Linked DNA regions of Sus scrofa. The protein of the gene in region 1 interacts with the protein of each later gene in a biochemical or structural test. Links are inferred from orthologs where the notes say so. Each region holds a gene or a part of one and is shown on either strand. Other genes may lie near its edges. The genes, in order: DLG1, KCNJ2, MAPK12, CTNND2, FRMPD4, CRHR1 and VANGL1.

Evidence for each region.
Region 2: the proteins of DLG1 (region 1) and KCNJ2 form a complex in vitro, tested with the Homo sapiens proteins (2 studies listed by BioGRID and IntAct, with this or other methods). The link is inferred for Sus scrofa from reciprocal best matches to the Homo sapiens genes DLG1 and KCNJ2.
Region 3: the proteins of DLG1 (region 1) and MAPK12 interact in a test that uses a peptide from one of them, tested with the Homo sapiens proteins (2 studies listed by IntAct, with this or other methods). The link is inferred for Sus scrofa from reciprocal best matches to the Homo sapiens genes DLG1 and MAPK12.
Region 4: the proteins of DLG1 (region 1) and CTNND2 interact in a test that uses a peptide from one of them, tested with the Homo sapiens proteins (2 studies listed by IntAct, with this or other methods). The link is inferred for Sus scrofa from reciprocal best matches to the Homo sapiens genes DLG1 and CTNND2.
Region 5: the proteins of DLG1 (region 1) and FRMPD4 interact in a test that uses a peptide from one of them, tested with the Homo sapiens proteins (2 studies listed by IntAct, with this or other methods). The link is inferred for Sus scrofa from reciprocal best matches to the Homo sapiens genes DLG1 and FRMPD4.
Region 6: the proteins of DLG1 (region 1) and CRHR1 form a complex in vitro, tested with the Homo sapiens proteins (3 studies listed by BioGRID and IntAct, with this or other methods). The link is inferred for Sus scrofa from reciprocal best matches to the Homo sapiens genes DLG1 and CRHR1.
Region 7: the proteins of DLG1 (region 1) and VANGL1 interact in a test that uses a peptide from one of them, tested with the Homo sapiens proteins (2 studies listed by IntAct, with this or other methods). The link is inferred for Sus scrofa from reciprocal best matches to the Homo sapiens genes DLG1 and VANGL1.

The regions. Positions count from the first base shown.
Region 1 is NC_010455.5:132,969,931-132,973,430, forward strand, and holds part of DLG1 (disks large homolog 1), read left to right. Parts: intron 1-1,902; coding exon 1,903-2,072; intron 2,073-3,011; coding exon 3,012-3,148; intron 3,149-3,500. UniProt on the Homo sapiens protein: Essential multidomain scaffolding protein required for normal development. Recruits channels, receptors and signaling molecules to discrete plasma membrane domains in polarized cells.
Region 2 is NC_010454.4:10,355,032-10,358,297, reverse strand, and holds KCNJ2 (inward rectifier potassium channel 2), read left to right. Parts: upstream 1-1,482; coding exon 1,483-2,766; downstream 2,767-3,266.
Region 3 is NC_010447.5:428,370-432,434, forward strand, and holds the start of MAPK12 (mitogen-activated protein kinase 12), read left to right. Parts: upstream 1-1,265; 5' UTR 1,266-1,477; coding exon 1,478-1,602; intron 1,603-1,669; coding exon 1,670-1,799; intron 1,800-3,988; coding exon 3,989-4,047; intron 4,048-4,065. UniProt on the Homo sapiens protein: Serine/threonine kinase which acts as an essential component of the MAP kinase signal transduction pathway.
Region 4 is NC_010458.4:1,518,974-1,522,981, reverse strand, and holds the start of CTNND2 (catenin delta-2), read left to right. Parts: upstream 1-1,208; 5' UTR 1,209-1,431; coding exon 1,432-1,468; intron 1,469-1,479; exon of another isoform or gene 1,480-1,706; intron 1,707-1,737; exon of another isoform or gene 1,738-2,258; intron 2,259-4,008. UniProt on the Homo sapiens protein: Has a critical role in neuronal development, particularly in the formation and/or maintenance of dendritic spines and synapses. Involved in the regulation of Wnt signaling.
Region 5 is NC_010461.5:9,436,539-9,440,038, forward strand, and holds part of FRMPD4 (FERM and PDZ domain-containing protein 4), read left to right. Parts: coding exon 1-1,282; 3' UTR 1,283-3,500. UniProt on the Homo sapiens protein: Positive regulator of dendritic spine morphogenesis and density. Required for the maintenance of excitatory synaptic transmission. Binds phosphatidylinositol 4,5-bisphosphate.
Region 6 is NC_010454.4:17,254,309-17,257,808, reverse strand, and holds part of CRHR1 (corticotropin-releasing factor receptor 1), read left to right. Parts: intron 1-2,669; coding exon 2,670-2,742; intron 2,743-3,005; coding exon 3,006-3,091; intron 3,092-3,321; coding exon 3,322-3,457; intron 3,458-3,500.
Region 7 is NC_010446.5:105,000,354-105,003,853, reverse strand, and holds part of VANGL1 (vang-like protein 1), read left to right. Parts: intron 1-882; coding exon 883-1,117; intron 1,118-3,500.

The DNA.
Region 1 (3,500 bases):
TGCACTTTATGTTGTGATACCAAATCCACTTTGTAGATTTTTCTTGAGGCAAACACCAGTGAATAAATACAACAGAACACTGTTGTAATAACTAACATAAGGTAGATGCTCAAATATCAAATAAATGAATGAGATAATTGTGCCTTAAGCATTGTTTCCCTCTTTTAGGAATTTTCTAATTTAGGAATTCACTTTATCTTGGAAATTAAACATTTTGAATAATAAATTTGAATGGTTTAAGTATTTGTGAGCAAATTTATAGAAATCATAGATTTCTTGTTGTATTTTCACAAACATTCACAAAATGCTTTCCATTTATTTTCTGGGTGGGAAACGTGTATAAACTTATTTAGGATACAGAAAATCATATATATCTGACTTTGTATCTCAGGCTACAAAGAGTAAAGATTATTCAAAGTTCAAGTAAATTAATTTATTTTCTTAATAAATGTAACATTGTTCTCTTACTGAAATTCAGTGTTCCATTTCAGAAGGTATCTTTAGCATACTTTATTGTTTCCTTAGGCCATAGATTATGGCACTTTTCCTCTTCCCTTTGTTGTTTTTTATTCGTGGTGAGTTTCCTAATGTTTTAGGACTAAGAATTTTATATGGTCTGTTAAAAACAGTATCTTATTTTAAGGCTATTAGTGCCTTAAGCAGCTCTTCAGTTTCTAGATGTTACTTCTCACTAGATAGGATAGGTGGTATTTTAGTGAAGTTAGTTAACATATAAAATTAATAATTTGGCTATTTATATAAATGTAAACGTTTACTTGGTGATTCTGTTATTGGGCTTTTATTTGTGCCTCTTCTGTAAAATTAATATGTTCCATTTGTTTTCGCTGGAGAACTTACCTATAGTACCAACTCTACAGTATCATTGTCTTTGAATGTAGAATTTCTTTCCACTAAAGGAAGTTAGACATTGAAGTTTATCATGATCAACTTAAATATTTTAATTATGTTTTGTTCCCCTTCCCTGCCCAATTTGAGATGACCATCTTTTTTGTTTTCTAGTGAAATACCACGTAGTTGAAACTGAGATCTGTTTATTTTTGGGTAAATCAGTGAATTTAATCCCGGTTTTGCCACTTACTATCTCAGTGACCTTAAGCTAGTTATTCAGTCTGAGCCTCAGTTTTCTTATCTTAGAATCACTGCTCTGTTGCTCATGATCTGGGCAGCCTTGGGAAGGTTATTTAAACTCTTTGTGCCTCGATTTCTTCATCTATACAATAGGAATATAAATAAGCATTTACCTTGGAGCTTGTTGTAAGAGTTAAAACATTAAAAGAAGTTCCTGGCACATGGTTAGCGCTAAATAAATGTTTATTATTTTTCTAAAGTATTGTAATTTCTATACATAATCATACTTAAAGCTGCGATTATTATTTAATATTTTTGCATAGTAATCTGTTATTTGCACTATTTCTTTTGCTGGACCTTAGGAAATGTTTGTTTATATGAGTTTTGATAAATTGGAATTTAACATGCAGTTTCTTCTAATAAATTATTCTAGTAAATAATTCTCTCTAAAAAATGAGAATGAATGGAGTGCCCATCGTGGCGCAGTAGAAACAAATCTGACTAGGAACCATGAGGTTGTGGGTTCGATCCCTGGCCTCACTCAGTGGGTTAAGGATCTGGCGTTGCTGTGAGCTGTGGTGTAGGTCACAGATGTGGCTCGGGTCCTGTGTTGCTATGGCTGTGGCGTAGGCTGGTGGCTACAGCTCCGATTGGACCCCTAGCCTGGGAACCTCCATATGCCACAGGTGCGGCCCTAAAAAGCAAAAAAAAAAAAGAAAGAAAGAAAGAAAATGACAAGAAAAAGTGGCAAAGTGAAAAATTGATACTTAACATTTTAATATTTAATTTTTAATTTTAACATCTTCTCCTTAGGGTCAATGACTGTATACTGCGAGTAAATGAGGTAGATGTTCGTGATGTAACACATAGCAAAGCAGTTGAAGCATTGAAAGAAGCGGGGTCTATTGTACGCTTGTATGTAAAAAGACGGAAACCAGTATCAGAAAAAATAATGGAAATAAAACTCATTAAAGGTCCTAAAGGTATGAAATAAATCAAACTAAGACAAATTATTAAGATATCTCTAAGTGAAGTGTAACTATGAATTTATTTATGACACACATTTTAAGATTAAAAATACTTATAATCTACAGAACTTGAGTGAATGTTTAGAATTTCCCTGTTATTTCTAATGATTTTTATCTTAAGTAGAGTTCTGGGTAAACACTACTTTTGAAGTCATATACAAGTCAAACACAATGAAGTCATATACAATATAAGTTAATGTTGATATTAACTTAAAATCATTCATCTGCAAAGTACACCCAATACAGATGCACAAGCTAAAGAAAGTATTTTAAGAGCGTGTCATTAATAGTTATATCTGCAGTGAGGTCTGTTAAGATACAGTTTCTAAATTTTGAAAATATGATGGGTTTGAGGATAAATGGAAATACTTGTTATAATTGTCCTTCATGGAAAAAGAATAGAGAGCTACATTATCTGGTATTGAAACTATGGGACTTATGAATTATTGACATTCCTTATTTATTTATTTATTTATTTTTATTAAAACAATAACACTTTTATTTAACTTGAGGTTAGGGAGGCTTTTAAATAGGTTAACATTCCTTATTTTAAATTAATTAATAGAATATTGAAAAACAGCAAAAACATCCACATTTCTGACGCTATTAGCTCTGCCCACCACCACCAATTTTTTCTTAATTGTTTTAATCTGTAGTAGAAGTATTAAAAGTGTTAGTAAGAAGCACAAATATCATGGGAACAAAAATGAAAAATTTTTACAATATCTCTTTGAACTAACAAATGCATTTTTAAGGAGACTTTAAGAGGTAACCTGAGGCAGGAAAAGAAACTTATTTTTAACTTAAAACACAAACAGTAGTTTTCAGTCATTTCTTTCTGGACTTCAGTTTACATTTTTTGGTAAAATCCTAAAACTGGTTTTTTCCAAACAGGTCTTGGGTTCAGCATTGCTGGCGGTGTTGGAAATCAGCATATTCCTGGGGATAATAGCATCTATGTAACCAAAATAATTGAAGGAGGTGCAGCACATAAAGATGGTAAACTTCAGATTGGAGATAAACTTTTAGCAGTAAGTATTAGAAATCCACTGTTTTAAAAATCATTTTGATGTCTTTTTCTTTTGACGGATTCTAGAATTTCCACATGCTAGAAAATGTTTGTGATAATTTAAATGAGTGAATACCAGCCTTGCTTTAATGAAAACCTGAAAAATTACTCTTTAATATCTTTATTTGCCATTTCCATTTCATCTCCAGCTCCCCCCTCCTTTTATTCCTTTTTTTTCCTTCTCTTTTTTTATTTTTTTTAAAGCCTATATATATATATATATATATGTATATATATATATATTTTTTTTTTTTGGTCTTTTTTTTGGTGTTTCTTGGGCCGCTCCCACGGCATATGGAGGTTCCCAGGCTAGG
Region 2 (3,266 bases), on another chromosome or scaffold:
GAGATAGATTTGGTTGTTTGAAAAGTTGAGAATTGCTTTTATTTTTCAGTTCTGTGCTATATTCAGTTTAAGAAATTTTTCTTTGATTCACAGAACACCCTAGACTTTCTCTTAGGCTTTTGTTAATCAAGGAAAAATTGTTTCTTTGGAGCAAAAATGGAAAGTCAGTCGATGGTTTTTACGGGGGGGGGGGGCAAGAGGAGAAAACTGAAAACTACTGTTTGTTCACATTTAGTGAAGGTGAGCACCTTCTCCATAGGAACACAGGGCAAGCAGTAGCCCTGGAAGTGAAAGTAAGCTGCCTGATCCTTATAATGTACTCCTACAAAGCTGTCTCTGTTTGGGAAAACACAGACTTGGACTTACATGAAATGAGTTCCAGCTTTATCTCAATCCGCTAAAGACCTGGTCCTTGGGTGCAAAGGTGCTTACTTCCTAGCCTGTCATTACACATGGCAATCCCATCTCCAGAGAATTTCAGGACTCTGCTTGCTAGGCAACAGACTCGCTCTGTATCCCCCATAGCAAACCTGCGTCTTGAAGTCAGAATCCCTTGCGCTAACAAAGATGTTATCAGGCGTTTCTGCACAGTGGCTGCTCTAAAGTGTGTGAAGTGATGGAGCAAGCCCAAACAGTCTCCAGAAAGTGGGATCCATTTCAGATGATTATAAGGGCTGTCTGCTCAGTTTTATCTTTTAAACAGAATAGTCTGTGCCTTCGCAGTTCAACCCTGTCATCAAAGGCTCCAGTATTCTCCCAGAATGCACCTGCTACTCAGTTAATAGTAACATTCTACATTCAAGGTGAAATGCTCTCTAGACATGTCCGAGTTCACAAAGCTTCATGACAAAGCCTTGGAGTAAGGGAGTCTTCCTTTTGCTTAGTCACTCGGGAGCAGAGCAAGTAGAGGAGGCAAAAGAAGAGAAAAAGAGGACAGAGGTGGATCTGTAAAAGAGAACATTCCAGATTTGTTGGGGGAAAAAAAGAAAAGAAGAAGAGGGGAAAGGGGGAACCTGTGATTTTGGTTGAAAGACTGTCACAGGTAACTAATTCTTCTGTGTTCGATGACTTCGTTAAAATAAGAAAATACTTGCGGGGGCGGGGGGGGGGGAGGGGATACAAAGAAAGGAGAAACCCAGTGAGTCAACCTGGAGTCTGTTTATCTACATCTGACCCCATGTCTTGCTAGGAAACGTTGCCTAGGGTGTAGAACCCTTTTATAATGACTCCTGTAATGAGGGATCTCTCTGTTTTTGCAGGACGTGTTCTCTGGATGTCAGCTGAGTTGCTAAGGTGACTCCGCATGTCAGGAGACAGACCCTGGTAGACAGAACCTCAAGGCTCCTGGAGACCCCCATCTCTCCTTATTTTTTTTTGTGTGTGTGTGTCCTCACCGAACATTCAAAACTGTTTCTCCAAAGGGTTTTGCAAAAACTCAGACTGTTTTCCAAAGCAGAAGCGCCGGCGTCCACAGCCGAAGCGATGGGCAGTGTGCGCACCAACCGCTACAGCATTGTCTCTTCAGAAGAAGACGGCATGAAGTTGGCCACCCTGGCGGTTGCCAACGGCTTTGGGAACGGGAAGAGTAAGGTCCACACCCGGCAGCAGTGCCGGAGCCGCTTCGTGAAGAAGGACGGCCACTGTAACGTGCAGTTCATCAACGTGGGCGAGAAGGGGCAGCGGTACCTGGCAGACATCTTCACCACGTGCGTGGACATTCGCTGGCGGTGGATGCTGGTTATCTTCTGCCTGGCCTTCGTCCTCTCGTGGCTATTTTTCGGCTGTGTGTTTTGGTTGATAGCTCTGCTCCATGGGGATCTGGATGCATCCAAGGAGAGCAAAGCTTGTGTGTCCGAGGTCAACAGCTTCACGGCCGCCTTCCTTTTCTCCATTGAGACCCAGACGACCATCGGCTACGGCTTCAGGTGTGTCACGGACGAATGCCCGATCGCTGTTTTCATGGTGGTCTTCCAGTCCATCGTGGGCTGCATCATCGACGCCTTCATCATCGGAGCAGTCATGGCCAAGATGGCCAAGCCCAAGAAGAGAAACGAGACCCTGGTCTTCAGTCACAACGCGGTGATCGCCATGAGAGATGGCAAGCTCTGCTTGATGTGGCGGGTGGGCAACCTTCGGAAAAGCCACCTGGTGGAGGCTCACGTGCGCGCGCAGCTCCTCAAATCCAGAATTACTTCTGAAGGGGAGTACATCCCCCTGGATCAAATAGATATCAACGTTGGGTTTGACAGTGGCATTGACCGTATATTTCTGGTGTCCCCAATCACGATCGTCCACGAAATAGATGAAGACAGTCCTTTATATGATCTGAGTAAGCAGGACATTGACAATGCAGACTTTGAAATTGTTGTGATCCTAGAAGGCATGGTCGAAGCCACCGCCATGACCACACAGTGCCGGAGCTCGTATCTGGCCAACGAAATCCTCTGGGGCCACCGCTATGAGCCTGTTCTCTTTGAAGAGAAGCATTACTACAAGGTGGACTATTCGAGGTTCCACAAGACTTACGAGGTACCCAACACTCCCCTTTGCAGTGCCAGGGACTTAGCAGAAAAGAAATACATCCTGTCCAACGCTAACTCATTTTGCTATGAAAATGAAGTGGCCCTCACAAGCAAAGAGGAAGACGACAGTGAAAACGGAGTCCCAGAAAGCACGAGTACGGACACCCCCCCGGACATAGACCTTCACAACCAGGCAAGCGTACCTCTAGAACCCAGGCCCTTGCGGCGAGAGTCAGAGATATGACTGGACCCGCCTCTGGAATAGTTACTCTAAAACACAGTCTGTTGGTCAAAGGCCCAAAACAGTGATTCAGACGACGGTACTGGTGAAGAGGTGGGTCGAGACAAGTGGCCGCGAGGGACTGAGGTTAGCACAGAGGGCTTCAAAGAAGGACTGTAAGCTCGAAGATTAACATAAAGCACTAAACATGCCTCCCCGTGACCCGATGATGGCACATACATGTTGTAGAATAAGTTAGGGTGGGGTGTTTATGTTGTGTTTTGTGTTTTTACAAAACTTGAACTTGCAGGCAAGCCTTGGTTGGTTGGGTGTTTGACTTATCCAGAATGCTTCTCTTTAGGGAACAAGAATGTTTTTAATGGCATAACATTTTTAAATGTTTTAAAGGCAAGACTCTGCCTTAACTTTTGAAAAGCTGCTAACTACATGAACACAAATTGTATTGTTGCAGTGTAGTTTTTTCTTTTGTGTAATTTAAAAGTCAGTGTTGAACTTGGTTGAAA
Region 3 (4,065 bases), on another chromosome or scaffold:
AGATGGCGGGCTGCTTCAGCCCACAGGCACACCCCCAGGGGGAATCAGGCAGGGTATCCGCAGGACAGGGACAGCCTATGTCTCTGCCTAGGCCTTGGGGTGCAGACCACTGGGGAGGTGGGCCTCCAGAGGCCTGGGTGGTGCGGGTACTGGGCTTCTGGTCCTGGAAAACCCCTGGAGACCAGGCTGGGTCCAGTCCTGGGCGGGGGGCCGGGGGCGAACAGGAGCAGAACTGGGACATGCCTCACCGGGGAGTCTGGTCTGACGCAGAAACCTCTGGACTGCTGGGGGCTTCCTGGAGGAGGCAGGCAGAGTGCCACAGGCAGCCCAGGGCATGAAGCACCTGGGGAGAGGCGGTGGTGGCTCCAGTGACCCCAGGCTGCTCCCACTGACCAGCCGGCCACTCCAGAGCGCCCAGATGCCCTCGGCAGCCCAGGTGTAAAGCTGCTCTGGCCAGGCCTGAGCTGCTCAGCTGCTGATTCATGGTGCAGGGCACAGAGGGCGGGGCAGGGGGCCCTGGGGATCTTCTTACCCCACTCTCTCTCCCGCCTGGGTCACTGGGCTAGGGCAGGACAAGGAAAGGACTGGGGGCTCTGTCCTCCAGGAGCAGCGGGTCAAGGAGGGGCCAAACCCATGAAATGATGAAGCCCCCACCTGGGGCGGGGCACTGAGAGGCCCCTTCACCCCTGGGGTCAGGCACACCTTCCTGGAGAGAGAGAGGAGGCTCCCGCTGGCCTTTGAACAAACCAGAGGGCCTAGGCTGGGCAGGGGCAGGACAGGCAGAGGGACTTGCAACTGTGTGACTTGGGAGATGGAACCGACTTTTTCCTAGGGAAAGGGGGAAGGGGGAAGGCAGGTGCTGGGGACGGCGGAGCTGGGGCCGACCAGGCGGCGCGCTGGGGGGTGGACAGTGATCGGGGATGGGCTGGGCTGGAGGTTGCCCAGCTCCGGCGGGCCGCCCGCCGTGGGCCAGCGCCCCGGGGCGGTGCTTGCAGGCGGGAGACGCGGCCCCTGTTAAGATGCCTCCTCTCTGGAGGTCTGCGGGCTTCATCGCAAGGGCAGGGGCGGGCGCCGGGGGCTGGGCCGAGCCGGGGCGGCGGGCGCCGCTCCCCGTCCCCTCCGTCCCCTCCCCCGGCTCCGGCTCCGGCCTCCGGCGGGGCGGGCGGGCGGGCGGGCGGCCGCCTCAGGTTTCCGGAGGGGCCGGAGGGCGGGCGCGGCGTCACGTGCGCGCGGCCCCGGGGCCGGTTGGTGCGCCGGCCGGGGAGGGGCCGCGCTGTGCCCGGGCCGGGGTCGGCGGCTCCGGAGAGCTCGGAGGCAAGAGCCGGGAGCGGGGGAGCCCCGGCGGCGACGGGCGGCGCGGCGCGGCGCCGGCTCTGCCCCGCGCCGCGGCCAGGGGCGCGCGCCAGGGTGCCCCGCGGAACCCGGGCCCCGGGTCCTCGGGGCGCGGGGTCTGCGGCGGGGCGGTGCCCGGCCAGCCATGAGCGCCCCGGCGGCCGCCCGCAAGGGCTTTTACCGCCAGGAGGTGACCAAGACGGCCTGGGAGGTGCGCGTCGTGTACCAGGACCTGCAGCCCGTGGGCTCGGGCGCCTACGGCGCCGTGTGGTGAGCGCAGGCCGGGCGGGGGCCGGGCGGCGAGGCCGGCCCTCCCGCTAAGCGGTGCGTCCCGCAGCTCGGCGGTGGACACCCGCACCGGGGCCAAGGTGGCCATCAAGAAGCTGTACCGGCCCTTCCAGTCCGAGCTGTTCGCCAAGCGCGCCTACCGCGAGCTGCGCCTGCTCAAGCACATGCGCCACGACAACGTGAGTCGCGCGGTCGCCTCGGCTCCCCGCCCCCCCCCCCCGCCCCCGCGCCCGCGCCCGCCTGGCCCGCAGCCCCTCGGCGGCGGCGAGGCCCTGGAGAGGACTCCGGTCTGGTCTTTGGCTCCTTCCCGAGGCCACATCCGGCTCGTCCGCCCGGCCCAGGCCCCGGTCAGGGGACGACGTCCTCTTGCCCGGGGGCTCACTCCAGGTCCCGCCTCCAAGCAGGATCCCCGAGGCGAGAGGCGACCTCAGGTGGGGGGCGAGTCTCTGGAAGGGGCACCGTGTCTCTTCTGGGCACCCCTTCCTGAACCCGCTGTGCTCCCTCTACCTCCTGAGCCCCAGCCCTGGGAGCCCCGAGGGGGCCTGTGTGGGCCTTGGGGAGCTGGTGTGCGAAGGACACGGGGCACACGCCTTCCTCACGTCCAGCGGCGTGCATTTCACAGCCCTTGGGGTAGGGGCTGGACCCAGCCTCCGGCAGGGAAAAGTCTGTTGCGTCCGGAACTGCCTCAAGCCTCTCCTGGGAACGCTGCTGGCTGCTAAGAGCCCTTCCCTCTGCTGGGGGTGCTCCTGCTGTTTGCCTGTGGCCTTGAGCTCTGTCCCCTCCCACACAAGCCACCCCTGCCCAGTCTGAGGGCTGGTGATCTGGGCGCCCAGACCCCGACTGATCGTGGTGGTCTGGCACCTCCTGGCTCATCAGAACCACGAGAATGAGCCTCCGTGTCCACCAGGAAACTCACCCCTTGGCTCCTGACCAACGCCCACCTCTCAGCCCCTCGCAGAGAGGGTCCTTCTTTCTCTCAGACTCCTCTACCCTTGACCCTTCCCGGGTGGCACCCATTCACCAGCCCAGCCGGGCCTTTACTGCCTCTGGGTCACATCTGGTCACACTCAGGCTTGTCCTCTCCCAGAGTCCTCACCCGGCTTCTCCCCACCACCTGCTGCTCCAGTGCCGTCTCCAGGCCTTCTGTCCAGTTACCTCCCGCCCCGATCTGTACCAGTGGGTCCTTCTCCCAGGGGAGCCCCTGACCCACAGCGCGGAGCGCTGCAACCTGCAGGGCTGTTCCAAGAGCTTCCTAAACCCAGTTCCTAGGAGGAGCTAGGCTCGGTGAGGCCGAGTGGCACACCCGCGTGAGCTCCTCCGTCCTCCCCCCCCCCCCGCCCCGCCCCGCCCCGCCCCAGGCCCCGTCTGCACCGCAGAGGCCTAGAGATCTCCATCAACCTGATGGATACCACCTGCCCCCCCCCGCCATTCCTGCCAAAGCCTCCTCCCAGGGCCCTCGGCTCACCTGCCTCCAGGCCCCTCTGGATGTGCCACTCTGTCCCCTCCACCCCGCCCACATCTCTGGCTCTGGTGTCCGCTTTGGTCATCTAGCTGTCCCTCCACCCCCATCCACCTTCACCTCACTCTGGTTTGTCCCCATATAGCAGCCAGGGGACACATTCAGCATCTCACCGTCCTCAGTGGCTCTTAGGATCAAAGCAAACCTTCCCTGGTGTTCGAGGGCCTGCTCGGGTTCCCTTCGGCTTCTCCTTGGCTACTCCTTGGCCTGGTCCTTGGCCACCTGGCCTCTCTCCCGTGTTCCTCAAACGCACCAAGCAATTTCCCTCCTGCCCCGGCCATCATTTGCCTGGCCTCTGCCAGGTGTCCCCCTGCCAGCACATCCACCTGCTCCTCCAGCCACTCTGATTCTCAGCCTCCCAGGGTCCCTGGAGGCCTTGTCACTGGAACCCCAGGTAGCAGTTGTCACATTACCTGTCTGCTGTCCATCACCCCTGGTCAGAGGGCTGTCGATGTGGCCACAGTGTTGCCTGCCTGGGCCTCTGGCAGAGGCGCAGCCTCTCGAAGGAACTCTCCCCTGAGAGGCTGTCCCCACAGTGGTCCTGGGTCTTCAGTGGGGACAGCAAGAGGGGGAGGAAGGGCCATGGGGCTGGCGCTCCTTGGATGGCCTGGGAGCTGACCCAGACTTGGGGCCGCCCCTCCCCTGGAGGATCCTGGCTGTCACCATCCCAAAATAGCCTTTGTCCATGGGCGTGTGTGCCAGGGCTGGGTTGAGCTGCTGGTGGGCAAGAGCCAGGCCCTGAATGGTGGGGGGAGACCAGGCCAGTTGCAGGAGGCTTTCCTGCCCAGAGCAGGCTGTGTCTGAGCCCCCGTGTCCCCGGCCAACCTGGTGCTCTGGCCTCCTCCCCAGGTGATTGGACTGCTGGACGTGTTCACGCCTGATGAGACCCTGGATGATTTTACAGACTTGTGAGTGCCGCCTGGGGC
Region 4 (4,008 bases), on another chromosome or scaffold:
TTTAGCCTGGGAAGGGGGAAGAGGAGGAGGAAGAGATGGTGGCAGAGGTGCGCAAGTTGGAAGAAAGCATAGGGGGCGCTGGAGGAGGGGAACCTATTTACGACCCATTTCAGTTCCAGACTAGACAATGGTCTTTCTTGCAGTAAGTTGACACACATTCCAGACTCAAAACCAGAGGGATTTCGTTTAAGGAGTCTCTCCACTCGCGAAAAGCATGTTTAATCTAAGCCCTGGAAGTGACAGTAAGATTGGACAGACGTTGTAGGGAAGACCTGAGATGGATGTCTTGCCCTCTTTGCTCTAGAACCACAGGATTTGAGCGGCTCCATCTTCACCCAGCAGCGGGCACCTTCAGCCTGGCTTCTACCCCAGCACACACAGAAACTGTCTTAAAAGCCCCTCATCCCTGCCCTTTGTTTGCAGGCTGACTTCTGCCCCGACCACAATTAACCGTCAGCATCTTGCACGTAAATGAAGTAACCCGTCCTTTGAGAACCGGTCCATACCGGGGTTCCAGGCCTTCCCCCGGTCCTTTCTAGTTTTCGCCTGGTTCGCGAACATCCACCCATCTGAGGGCTGGGGTGTGTGTTCCCAAGGATGCTCGGCCCTCTCGCAACCCGGGGCCTCCTCCCCTCTCTCCTGCTGCTGCCTCTGCTGCCGCGAAAACCAGGAGAAGTGGAATGCGCACGGCGAAGCGCCGCGCTCGCGCGGCGGCACTGGGCATGCTCGGCACCCAGGGCAGGTTTGGGCGGCGGGGCGGACGCTGCCTCACTAGCCCGGCGCCCGAGCCGGCCGCCGAGGCATAGGTGGAGGCTGAGGCTGCCGCGCGCCGCGGGAGGAGCCTCGCCCTCGGCGGCGGCGGCGGCGGCGGCGGCGGCGGCGGCGGCGGCGGCGGCGGCGGCGGCGGCGGCGGCGGCGGCGGCGGCGGCGGCGGCGGCGGCGGCGGCGGCGGCACAGGTGGCGCGGGCCGCGCGCGGGGCGCAGCACGGGAGCGCTCGGCGCCGGGCGCCGCGGCGGCCCCAGGCTCGCGCCCGCGGCGGCAGCCGGCCGAGCGGAGCGGCGGGCGCGGCTGTGGCGGCGGCTCTCTCAGCCCGGCCGGCGGCGGCGGCGGCGGCGCCCGGATCCCGGAGGAGCCCGCGGAAGCCCGCAGGAGCCCTGAGCCCGCGGAGCCCGCGGAGCCGGGCAGGGGGCGCTGCGCTCGCTGCGCTCGGAGGGGCCGCCGGGCCGGGCTCAGCGCACTCGCGTCGGGAGCCGCCTCTCCCCCGCGGCGCTCGCCCCTGCTCCCCGCCAGCATCACTTGTCCCGCGGCCGCGCTCAGACAACAAAAGCGGAAGATGCTGCAGTTGGGCAAGGTCAGGACCTTGCCCTGAAGCCGGGCGGCGGCGCGCACGCCTTTCCCCGGACTGAGGAGCTGTCGTTGGCGGCGGGTGCATGTTCGCGAGGAGACAATCGGGCGCCGCGCCGTTCGGTGAGTTGCCTTGGCCGGGCTGCTGGGGCCGGGCGCATCCCGCTTGGCGTCGTCCTCCTCCTCCTCGCCCTCCTCCTCCTCGCCCTCCTCCTCCTTCTAGCCGCCGGTGGGGGTTGGTCCTCGGCTCTCCCCGCCGGCTGGCGGCGGCGGCTCCAGCGCGGTCCTGCCAGCCGGGGGAGGACCGCGATCGCGCTAGGTCCCCTCTCGGAAAACGGCTCTGCCTGGAATGGGGGCCAGGGTTAGTGCTTTTCTCAGAGCGGTTACCAAGTGGCTTCTCCGCGTGCTCCCCCTCCCCGCCACCCATCTCCCCCGGAGGAGGCGTATGTAGGGCAACACCAACAATACCGCTCCCCGCCACCCTCCAGAACAGACCCGTTGCATTCATGACGTCCCTAATATACGGGAGAAGACGGGTGGGGGTGGGGAGGACTTCCCTCCAGTCTTTTGCCCTTATGTTCAATGTCATTACGATGTTTGGCTAGAACAAAATGGAAATACTTAGTCATTTGCGTCCATGGCTGTTTCTTCGGTCTCCCGCTGCTTGCCAGACCCAGAGCCCTTTGGTCTATATTTAGCTGTTTCAGAGGAAGCATTTTCAGCTCGATTCACAGGTTTCGGGGGCTTCTGCGTCCTGACAATAGATAGAGAGGCTCCGGAAAGCGCCGCCTGAAACCCAGGTTTGGAACGCTGTGCGTGTGGGTGGGATGTTGCGATGCGATATTTGGGTGATCGGTAATTAATGGCCGAAAGCAAAGCTGCTTTTCTTTTTCGCCGACCTTCTCTCATTCTGGTATGTAATGTGTTTCCATCGATTGCTGCTCGGCTGGTTCCAGCCACTACATTCAGAATTAAGTCACTGGAGAGGTGGTGCAGCCTTCCTGGTCTGTGTGGTAGGAAAACAATCTGGGAGGTTTTGGGGTGTGCGTGTGTTTCCCACAACGAGCAGTTACTTCTAAAATGCCTAAAGTTGCGCTTCACTGCAAATTTGGGGGATAGTGAAGAGTGGGAAGAGAGAAAAAGAGGGGCAGGTTGTGGTTTCCAAGGTGTTATTTTCCCCTTGCGTGCTTCAGTTGAACTGATCTGATTTGCTTGGGCTCTGAAAGGTGTTTTTCACATGCATGCTTAATGTTACCAAGCAAATATGTTGCTTTAGAAAATGAATAGTTATAGACATCTTTCAGGACTGATATGGATGTATATATTTTCACTTTTAGAAACTATGTGACTGATATTTAGGATGCTTGGACTTTTCTGCAACGATTTCCATGAAAATAAGGAGGTGCTGCAACTACCTGAGAGTTATCTCATTGTGCATCCTTCCATCAGCAGCTTTAAACTACCACCAGCTGCTGATGATAATTCAGTTTGTCTCTTTGCTGGTAGTAAATCACATACAGGATTAGAAGCCTTTAGAGCTGCACCACTTTTAAAATCCGGTGGGAAAGTATTTGATATGACTCATATTGAACTACAGGACTGAACCTGTGCATGACTTTGGGGGGCTTGCTGTATGGGAAGTATGACAGAGAGGGGCAGGCATTCTCAAATAGGGACTTGATGCTAGAATTTAAACCACCGTGAAATCTCTTTGCCACACACACAGAATCCATTTTTAATGTTTGGGGGGAAATGTTAAGTGGCACCCTTTCTGGTCTGTGGGTTACAGGATCTCAGGACTTGAATGAAGATGATTGCATTTGGGGCGAGATGTTGAAATTTGGGAGGCCTGTGATTATACAGCTAAAGAGTCTCAGTGTCTTGGAAAGACTACTATCGCCCATACGGCTGGAGTTAACTGAAGAGTGTGGTTAGTTTTACCAATATTGCTTGAGTTTCACCTTTTTCACATTCAGAGAACTTTCCAAGAGCACTTTGAACACACTCTTGTGCTTGTTGTGTTGTTTTAATATTAGATTTTTTGCAAAAAAAGAAGCAGTAGGTGAAGTAGATATTCATGTCTTTTGACTTTTCCTTTTGAATCTAGTGTTTCCGTTTTAAACATGATTCTTAAAGGACTAGTGGAGATTTCTCAGTGCCTATGTGTGCATACAGAGCAGCTGATGGGGGAGGAAAAACTACTTGTATGAGTTTTTTTTTTCTAATAAACTTTTAATTGGGAAATTTTTTATCCTCTGTGCTTTTAAAAAAGTTCTATTTAAGTATAGTTGATTTGCAATGTTGTGATAATTTCTGCTGTATGACAGTGATTCAGTTACACTATACACAGATCCTTTTTTTTTTCAGATTCTTTGTTGTATGAATTTTATGTTACATTGTGGGTTAAAGATGATAATACTTGATTGAATGGCAATTGTAGTGAGTACGGAAGGTTGTTGCTCTATTAAAATTGTCATAGTCTTGTGGGAAGGAGTTATTTAATTTGGTGTATGTTTGTGTCATTGTATAATCTAATCATTATAGATGTCACTGATGTTTTCCTTGTTTGTAATAAAAGTCATGCACTGCCAAATTACAGTATTTCTATCAACTTCCCATCTTCCACAGTTAGCCCACAAGCCAATTCTTTCTCCCACTGAAAT
Region 5 (3,500 bases), on another chromosome or scaffold:
AGCTTGGTCTCAACATCCTGAAGCTGATCCCACCCTGCTACCATCAAACATTCACTCGGAATCAAAGGTGCCAATTCCAAATCAAGACCCTAATGATTTCTCCCAAGAAAACCAGGCCTACAGAGAGGCTGTGAGCTGGCGGCCACTGGATCTGAGAGGGGGGAGCCTCAGGACACCCCCCAGCCAGAGGGCTCTGAGACGGAGCAGCAGTATCCTCTCGGGATCTGTAAGTTTGGAGACCTTCCGAGAGAGAAGCAAGGGTGCAGTCAGCTTAAACTGTCCAGGTATCAGAGAAGCACAGGAGGCCAGTTCAGAAAGGCGAGCAGAACTCCCCCTGGGGAAGAAGCTCACCAAAAGTTGTTCCCAAAGCTCCATGCACTTTAGCTCTGAGGGGAAGGTTCAGAAAAGGTCCCCGGTGGCTCACAAAGACTCAAAGCTGTATAGGACATTGCCCTTGCGGAAGCTGGAAGGCAGCAATTGGAGATGCCGGGGACCCTTCAGCTACTGCTTCCTGAACCGAGGGCAGGATGAAGATGGTGAGGAGGATGAAGAGGAGGGAGAGGCCACCCGCCAAGTCTCTTGCCTCTTTCGACCACAGATGACTCAAGCCATGCCAGAACCAAGCAGCCCACCCCTGGCTGTTGGGATTCGGAAGCAAGGAGGGGAGCTGTCCAGAGGTTCAGTGCTGAAGGTCTGGGCAGAAGACTTGAGTGGCCCAGATGATGTGGACTTGAGCAACCTGGCTTTTGATGCCCAGATTGCAAGAATAAATGCCCTAAAGGAGAGCATGTATGCAATGCCCGATGGGTTCCTCGCAGCCCAAAATGATGCCAATGAGCTGCTCTGCCTTGTCAGGGCAACCAAGGGGAAGAAAGAAGAGTCACGCCCTGAAGCCTATGACCTAACACTTTCTCAGTACAAGCAACTGTTATCCATTGAGTCCAGACAGTTGGGAAGTGCCTGTAGGAAAATGGCAATGGCTGAAAAAAGCCCAGAGGAGATGCTCCTAGCCATGACTTCCAGTTTTCAAGTGCTCTGTTGCCTAACAGAAGCCTGCATGCGATTAGTTAAAGTCGTGAACTCAGAAACGCAGCGGCAGGAAATTGTAGCGAAGATTGATGAAGTGGTCATAAACTACATCTGTCTCCTGAAAGCTGCTGAGGCAGCCACTGGAAAGACCGCTGGGGATCCCAGTGTTGGACTCTCGATGCGACATTCAACCACCATGGCCGCTCTCGTAAGCACACTAACACGTTCTCTCAAGATGCTTTTAAATAAATAAAAGTATGAAAGTCATGTCATAATCTACCTTTGCAAAGCCATACATGAACTTTTATTTACTTTATGTGTACGATGAACAGATGTCTCCTTTCTTCTCTCTGTATATTTTGTTATTTTATATGAAATAGGAGATGAAAGTCGCATTGATGAAAAGTTGAAATGTACTAATCCAGTTGTATTCTGTTTATATTATACATATATATACATGTAAAAGGAATATACAAGAAAGTGGTGACCTTTGGCTATTTTTCATATAGTCAAAACTCCAGGTATATGATATGAGATTTTAAATTCTGCTGTGTTGGAGCAAAACAATGAATCCTATCCCCTTTCCTTCCAAGCGGATACTTGGAGACCATATCATTCATATTTAGAAGTAAAGACAAAAACGAAAAGAAAAATCACAATGTATATAAAACAATACTTATGTTTTAAAATTATGATTTTTAAGCATTGGAAATAGCAAAAATACATTTAAAATTCAAAAAGCTATTATGAATTATTAGAGAATATATATAATAAATTAATTTTTTGCTCATAGTGTTTGGTTATCTGATGCTTTTTTCCAAGAATCCTACATATTTAATTTTGGCTTATGCCATTTGGGCTAGAAATGGGGTGGGAGTGGATTCTATTGTGTCAACACAAATGCTGTTCATGATGTTTCTAGAATTAAAAATATTTCCCAAATGGAAGAACAGAGGGAATGATGGGCAGGTTCCTGGGTAGTATCTAGTTGTAGACAATCTAATTGCATAAAATGAAAGGAATTAATAATACCAAAATGAGATTGGTTGATGAAAAGAGAGATCTGCTTTAACTCAATGTCAAAATATATAAACCAAAGACACCATCTCCCTGCCCTTCAGTTCAGCCATGAAACGTAGAATTCCCTGAAGAGTGACAGAACATTTAGTAAAGTATTTGCAGAAGTACAAAAAGGAACAGTTAATGATCCTTGCAAGTAAATGCAGGTCCAGTAACGTAAAGCCAACCGCACACCAGGCTATGAGTCACATCGACGATCACAGCTCTCAGCATAGAGCTTCGTGCATCACCTCTACAGGGGCCAACGCTCCCAACCAAATTGACAATTACAGTCTGACACTGGGACAAAACTTAAAATCTGGAATGTTCCAGAAAATCAGGGAGAGAGAGCTACTCGGATATGGAAGCCATACTTAAATAAATCATAAAGTATTTGTGAAGTGTTCTAATCTGGAGTGGCTGATAGAAACACAAAAGCTGAAGAAAAAAAAAAAGTGGTAAATTTGACCATGTTAAGTGAACCTGATGGAGCACAAAGAAGTGTTTAGAACCATCGTCTCTCTCAAAATGTATCTTTGGGTCAAAGCGAAAGGATGCAAAGTCTGCAACTGTATAATAAAGTTGATATGTACATATGTGCTTCATGGCTCATTTAGTGTTCAAGCTACACACACTCCGATTTATGTAGGTGGCTTCTTCCAATGTGACAGGAGTGTGTCCAGTGCAGATATTTCCATTTTTATAGGCATAATATGGTCCCCAATTGCTATCCCTCTCTCGTCAGTTGTTCCTTAGAGATTCAGTAACAAAAGCCACACATATTTATAGGTGGTAGCAAACAAAAGAAATTTAGACGTGTGTTATTATAATGTTTAAATAATAAAACATTATTTGATTACAAATATTGATGTTTGATAGTGAGAAATATTAATGGTGTTTACTGTGGAAATTTTTGGTAAATATTCTGTGTACTAAAATACATATTAATAGGATGTGTGTTCTATGTCAGACAATGTGCTAAACATATCATATATATTCTCTCATTTAATCATCACAGCGTTCTTATGGTTTGGACACTATCGTTAATTCCCTATGGAGGCAGGATAGTTTAGTAGTTAAGGACGTGGGGTTTGGGGTCCAAAACTTCTTGATTTAAATTTGGACTCTGCCATTTTCTAGCCCTTTCATCTTGGGAAAGCTAATCAGTTTCTCAGTCTTGATTTCCTTCTCTTAAAATGGAATTCAGTAGTAAGATCTCTTTCCATAGGATTGTCATGAGTTCTAAGTAAAATTATGTATATAAAGTTCTCACCACAATACCTGGCAAAGAGCAAGCACTCAGTGTCAGATGTTATTATCATGATAAGTATCGCATTAAATATATTGCCCAAGATCCTCTGTGGGGGCTGTTTGTTTTATATGCATATTGTATCCTGACTCTGTGCAGAATG
Region 6 (3,500 bases), on another chromosome or scaffold:
CACTGCTCTGGGGGACCCCTGACTCCCAAGGAGGCCCCCAGCCCAGCTCTGCCTGACACTCCCCAGGGGGCGTCAGCCATGTCACCTTCCCTGTCAGGGCCCCAGTTTCCTCATCCATATAGGAGGGTGCTGGGAGTCAGACTCAATCTGAGGCTCCCTAGCAGTGCTCTGCCTGAGGTGGGGCTGGACAGGCAGGTCCAGGCTCTCTTTATCTGTCTCACAACAAGCAGAACAGCCTAAAGGCTACTGGCAATCTTTGGAGCCAGACCACCCAGTTTCCGAATCATGGCTCCACTGTTCAGTAGCTTTATTACCTTGGGCTGCTTACTACAGTGTGCCTCAGTTTCCTCATCTGTAAAATGGGCATCCTTGTAGTAGTGCCTCCTTCAAAGGGTTGTTATGGGGATGACATAAGTTAATATCAAGACAGAATAGGGAGTTCCCATCGTGGCTCAGTAGAAACGAAACTGACTAGTATCCCTGAGGACATGGGTTCAATCCCTGGCCTCGCTCAGTGGGTTAAGGATCTGGTGTTGATTTGAGCTGTGGTGTAGGCTGGCAGCTGTAGCTGCAATTCGACGCCTAGCCTGGGAACTTCCATATGCCGAGAGTGGGGCCCTAAAAAGCCAAACAAACATCAAAAAAACTTAGAATAGAGTCTGGCACATAGTAAATGCCATAAAAATGTTTTCTGATAATGTTTAACAGAAGATTCCGTGGATTTAACAGAAATGAATCTGGACAATCTCAGAGACTCCTTCTAGCTCTAAAGTCCAGACAGACCTTTTAAATGGAAGCAGATGTTTCCAATCACCCCTGAAAACGGATGAGGTAGTTCTCAGCTTTGGTTCATGTTAGAATCATTCAGGAAGCTTTAAAAATACCAATGCCCAGGCTTGACCTCCGGGGAGATGGATGTCATTGGTCTAGAGTATGACCTGGGCACCAGGATATTTTAAACCTGCCCAGGTGATTCTAATGCAAAGCCAAGATTAAGAAGCAGAGGCAGAAAAAGTTGGTGGAGGAGGTGCCAGCACATTCTTTGCCAGAGTGTTCTCAGGAAGGAGCTGACAGGACTGTGGCCTGGATCCCAGAGCACCCAGGATTGTAAATCCCAGTCGAGGGAGACTGTGCTTGTAGGTGTGCATGTGAGTACAGAGGCAGAGGCAGAGGGGAGGAACACGTTTCGAAAAACTGCCCAGGGAGTTCCCGTCATGGCTCAGTGGTTAACGAGCCTGACTAGGAGCCATGAGGTTGCGGGTTCGATCCCTGACCTCGTTCAGTGGGTTAAGAATCCGGCATTGCCATGAGCTGTGGTGTAGGTCACGGACGCGGCTCAGATCCTGCGTTGCTGTGGCTCCGGCGTAGGCCTGTGTCTACAGCTCCGATTAGACCCCTAGCCTGGGAACCTCCATATGCCGCAGGTGCAGCCTAGAAAAGACCAAAAAAAAAAAAAAAAAAAAAAAAAAAGCTGCCCAGGAGTTCCCATTTTGGCTCAGCAATAGAAAACATGACTAGTATCCCTGAGGATGTGGGTTCAATCCTTGGACTTGTTTAGTGTGTTAAGGATCCGGCCTTACGGTGAGCTGAGGTGTAGGTCGCAGACGTGGCTTGGATCTGGCGTTGCTGTGGCTGTGGCTGTGGCATAGGCTGGCAGCTGTAGCTCTGATTGGACCCGTAGCCTGGGAACCTCTATATGTTGTGAGTGCAGCCCTAAAAAGACCAAAAACAAAAAAAGCAAAAAAACAAAAAACAAACCCAAACACCTGCCCAGTGTTTGTCTGGAAAGATACCACCAGAGCTCTGAGGAAAGTCAGTCTGATCGCCTCTGGAGTGCCACCTTGTGGTGAAATGGTGACACTGCAGCAGAAGGGATCCAGGTGTGAGTCCTGAGAAGGAACCTGCAGGTCTGAGGGCCAAGGACTGGACCTGGCCCCAGGACAGCCTGTGTTTGGTCAGCACAGTTTTTTTGGAAAACTTGAATTTATTGCCAACCTTGAAAAAGTCAATAGGTTTCACATAAAATTTTCAGTTTCTTGTTTATGGAAGCATCATGAGATCTAGGTACTGCAGATTTGCGTCCTAGCTGCTCAACAGTCTCTGCTCCACAGTCTCTGCTCAAGGCCATAGGACTTCCTATGTGCCCCATCCCAACCCACTCCCCAGACCTCTTTAGATCTCGCTGGAAGGAAACTCAAGAAAACACAAGGCAAGTCTGCTTCTCCCGACAGGTGAAACCTGTAGAATCTCTGCCTCCAGGTTGTTCAGGCTGCAATTAAAGACATTCAGGGATTGTTAGCTAGAGCTGTCACTGCATGACAGGTGGAGGGGAAGGTACCACTTGTGGGCATGCGCCAGAGCCACTGTGGGCCAAGGGGAGCTGTGTGTGTCGAGCCCATGCCTATTCTATTCAGTGGGTTTTTTCCACAGTTCCCCTTGGGCCACTGGGCCTGCTTCTGCCTTTACATCTCTAAGGATGCTGTCCATTCTGCAGATGGAATGACTGAGGCAACGTGGTGGGATCTTGACCAGTTCTACCAGGGTTGGAATTGGGGCACCCAGATCCTGGCTTTTGGCTCCAGTCCTGCCCTGGCCCAGCACTGCTCCTCCCACGTGACACTCAAATGGACCCAGATGACCCTCCTCCTCCTCCCTCTGTGGCTTTCTAGGTGCTGGTTTGGCAAAAGGCCTGGGGTATACACTGACTACATCTACCAGGGCCCCATGATATTGGTCCTGCTGGTAAGAGCCTGGGTAGGGGGGCAGGAGAGAGGGGCTCAGTGGGGACGGGCAAGCGGTGCTTTCTGTGGACAGAAAGGATCCCTCTCCCAGAGGTGAAGGTTGTGGGGCCAGAAATGTGCATGGGCTCACGAAGGCAGTGGGGAGCAGCAGGGGGACAGAGGCCAGACCTGAGATAGCTGAGTCCCTGACCTGTCCCCACCCACCCCGCCACTGTCCTGCACACATCCATGCCCATGCCACCGCACTGCGTGCTCAAATTACAGATCAACTTTATCTTCCTTTTCAACATCGTCCGCATCCTCATGACCAAACTCCGGGCATCCACCACTTCTGAGACCATTCAGTACAGGTAAGCAGTGCTGCCTTTCCCACCGAGGGGGCTTCAGAGACCCCACCTCTGACCCAGGGTCCCTGCCACCAGATCTGAGAGTCCTTCCTGAAACCCCAGCTCCCTGTCTCAGACGGGGGTGGGGGTCTGCTGCAGCCCTCCCCCGGACCCGGTCCTCTTCACCAGGCCGAGGCCCCAGCCCCCTCTGGGGGTGGGCTGTGACTCAGCCTCCCCACCTCCCCCCATCTCAGGAAGGCTGTCAAGGCCACCCTGGTGCTGCTCCCCCTCCTGGGCATCACGTACATGCTGTTCTTCGTGAACCCCGGGGAAGACGAGGTCTCCCGGGTCGTCTTCATCTACTTCAACTCCTTCCTGGAATCCTTCCAGGTACAGCTGCCCGCCCCCTCCCGCCCTGGCTATGGCCCTGGCC
Region 7 (3,500 bases), on another chromosome or scaffold:
CACACCAGCATCCCCTCCAAGACTTCTTTCTAAACCATCAAATGAAATTTCACTTGATGAGCCCAACTGCTTGGGCCTTCAGAGGGAATCTTGCTCCAGTGGTTCCCAAAGGTTAGCCTGCAAAAGCATCACCCGGAGGGCTTGTTAAAACACAGATTTCAGGTCAGGTTCCGGCCCCACCCACAGAGGTTACTTATTTTTCAGTGGGTCTAGAGTGGGGCCCACCCAAGAATTTGCATTTCTTAGAAATTCCCCACTGATGATGAAGCTGCTGGCCCTGGGCCCACACTCTGAGCGAGCCCGTCCTATATCCCCAGGCTCTTGCTGGTTTCCAGGATCTGAGCACATTAGCCAAAGTGGACAAAGACGGTTTTCATCCTGTGTGCTGGGCCCCTGCCTTCCTCCTTCCCAAGGGCTGCTGGTGTGGGCGGCCGGCTGGGGGAGATACAGCTCCAGGTCTTTGTCAGGCTGCTTCCGCACCAGCGGCCACCCCTCAGTGCACGCAGAGCCTTATGCAGCCAGAGTTTGAGGGACCCTAAAACTCTTTTCCTCTAACCCTTCATTGTACAGATGAAAAGGACGAAGTGAGTCTCCCAAATTAGTGGCAGAATTGAGAGCGGTCCCCTCCTCGTTCTAGGGCTCCTTCTTCCTCCCCTGAAGCCCCCATCCCCTGCAGTGCATTTGCCTTTGCCCTCCTCTCCGTTCCTGCCAGCCCCCCCCCACAACCCCCGCCATCTGGAGTGGCAGCTGAGGACGGGGAGCCGTGGGTGCGCTGGTGGCGGACTGGGGCACAGCAGGCGGGCAGACGTCATCCCGGTTCTGTCTGCCTCTGTCCTCGAGCCCCGCCCCACGGTCCCGATGCCCTTGTTTCGGCCCCTCCAGGCTGGTGGTCGCGGTGGAGGAGGCCTTCATCCACATCCAGCGTCTCCAGGCCGAGGAGCAGCAGAAAGCCCCAGGGGAGGTGATGGACCCCAGGGAGGCCGCGCAGGCCATCTTCCCCTCCATGGCCCGGGCTCTGCAGAAGTACCTGCGCACCACCCGGCAGCAGCACTACCACAGCATGGAGAGCATCCTGCAGCACCTGGCCTTCTGCATCACCAACAGCATGACCCCCAAGGTGCGGCTGGTCACCGAGCTCGGGGAGTCCCACTTCAGGGGTGGTCAGGAGTGCGAACATCAGAGGCTTCTCTCAAGCGCCAATGAATAAGAATGAGGGATTCTCACTTATTTTGTGCGGTTTTGGCACAGTTGCTTTTTTAAGTTGCCTTTGGAGGCCTCTGGATTCAAGCAGAGGAAAGACTTTCACTTAGAGATGGTCCAGGTGGCAGCTCGGGGTACGCTGGTTTCTCGTTTCTGGTTGACTCATTCTAACCTGGCTTTCTGTTCCTTTCTGCCAGTGGGAAACCTTGGGCCAGGAGCTTAATGGCTCTGTGCCTCGGTTTCCTAACCTGTAAATTGGGGATAATACTAGTATCTACTTCATTGGGTTGTTGTGATAACTAAGAGGCACACAGTTTTAAGCCCGTTCTTGTGCAGGGCTTAAAACTGCATCTGTCCTAGTGGAAGGACCAAAGAAATAGCTTTGATTATCAGCGGTAGAAACAAGGCCATCACTTGGGCGTTTTGGGGCTGTTGTGGGTTTAGTTTTACTAAATGGTCTTTTGGATTATGACGTGAGCACACCGCGGGGGATGTGGCAAACAGCAATGCATCTACTAGACGGATGTGGCCAAGGAGGCAGCACAGAGTAAGGGTTCAGCAAATGACCGCTCTTCAGATAGAAGTGGGTTCACCTCCAGGCTCCACCACCGAATTGCTTTGTGACTTAGCCTTAAGTTTACACTTGTTTCCTCTTTTATAAAATGAGGATAATGATAGTATCTACTTGATAGGATTGTTGTGTGGGAATTATAGTAAAAATGGCAGCATGACAGGTCAGTCACATGGTAGAGCGTAAATGACCTTGACATTTCGTACACATGTGCACTTGGTAGTGTTACTGTTGGTATAAGGACCTGTGTTCAGACACTGCCCTGAATGTACACAACTGCTGATGACATTGTCGCTAACCAGTAATGACACTTAGGAAAACAACATGGGTTTTCACACTCCTTGACTTACTAGCCCCTCTCCTGGAAAAAGTATTCAGCACAGTCAGCTCATATATATGAATATACATGCAGGTGAGTTTTTGCAAAATAGTCTGTATTCACTCAAAACTGGAAATAACTTAAAAATAGAACAGTAGCTTATAAATTCTGGTACATCACTTATTAAAACACAGAAGACTCTTTGTTGCTATAATAATAAGTTACAAAATGCAGAATACAAATAAGTGTGAACGCTGTGGTTGCAAGTGAGCCCAGTAAGTCTGGGTGTACAGAGTGATAGCTCGTGCCACACAGAATGGAAGTGGTTATTTTCCTTTTTTTCAAGGTTTTTAAAAAGGTTTCCTGAGGGCTTTCTTTTTCACTGAAAAAGAGTATACTTTTCTGAATAAAAAATAATATTTGCATGAAAATGTTAACATTAAAGAAAAGTATAATGGGAGTTCCCTTCGTGGCTCAGCAGTTAACGAACCTGACTAGTATCCATGAGGATGCAGGTTTGATCCCTGGCCTTGCTCAGTGGGTTAAGGATCCGACGTTGCAGTGAGCTGTGGTGTAGGTTGCAGATGTGGCTCGGATCCCGCATTGCTGTGGCTGTGATGTAGGCCTGCAGCTGTAGCTCCAATTTGACCCCTAGCCTGGGAACTTCCATATGCCACGGGTGTGGCCCTCAAAAGCAAAAAAAGCCAAAAAAAAAAAAAAAAAAAAAAAGCAAGAAAGAAAAGTATAAGGTACAAAGTGAAGTTTTGATTCCCCTAATCCAGACAGTTCTTACTGATATAAAGACTGGGTGTATATTCTTTCCGGGTGGGTGTGTGTTTTCAAAACAGAAATAGGAAAAAAACAAAAACCAAAAAACAGAAATGGGATCTCAAACTATATAGATAAAGTATGGATACTAGGTTTTTTCACTTAAAGCTGCTCTTGGCTGTCTGTCCATGTCAGGCCTTCACACAGCTCTAACTCTTTCTCTCCAATAGCTGCATCCTAGCCCACTGAATACCGGGGTTTGTTTAACAGACTGCCTACTGATGCACTTCTGGAGTAAGATCGTTCTTTAGTCTGAATGAGGGCTTGGCTCTTTTTGCTAATCGAGCTTTCCTGGAACACAGCCACACCCTTTATTTACAGATTGTCGACAGCTGCTGTCTCTCTACCAGGACAGACTTGAGTCGTTGTGACAGTGCGTGCCTTGCAAAGCCAAAAATATTTACGTTTAGAGAAAAGTTTGCCAACCCCTGGCCTAAACAGAGTTGCAGTAAATCCCTTTTTTACATGTGTTTTTGTGTATGTAGGCAATTATTTCAGAAGGATGCATTTCTGGTAGAGGAACAGCTGGATCAAAGGCACAGATCCTGCCAAATTGTCCTGCTAAGTGGTGTCACTCTTTCA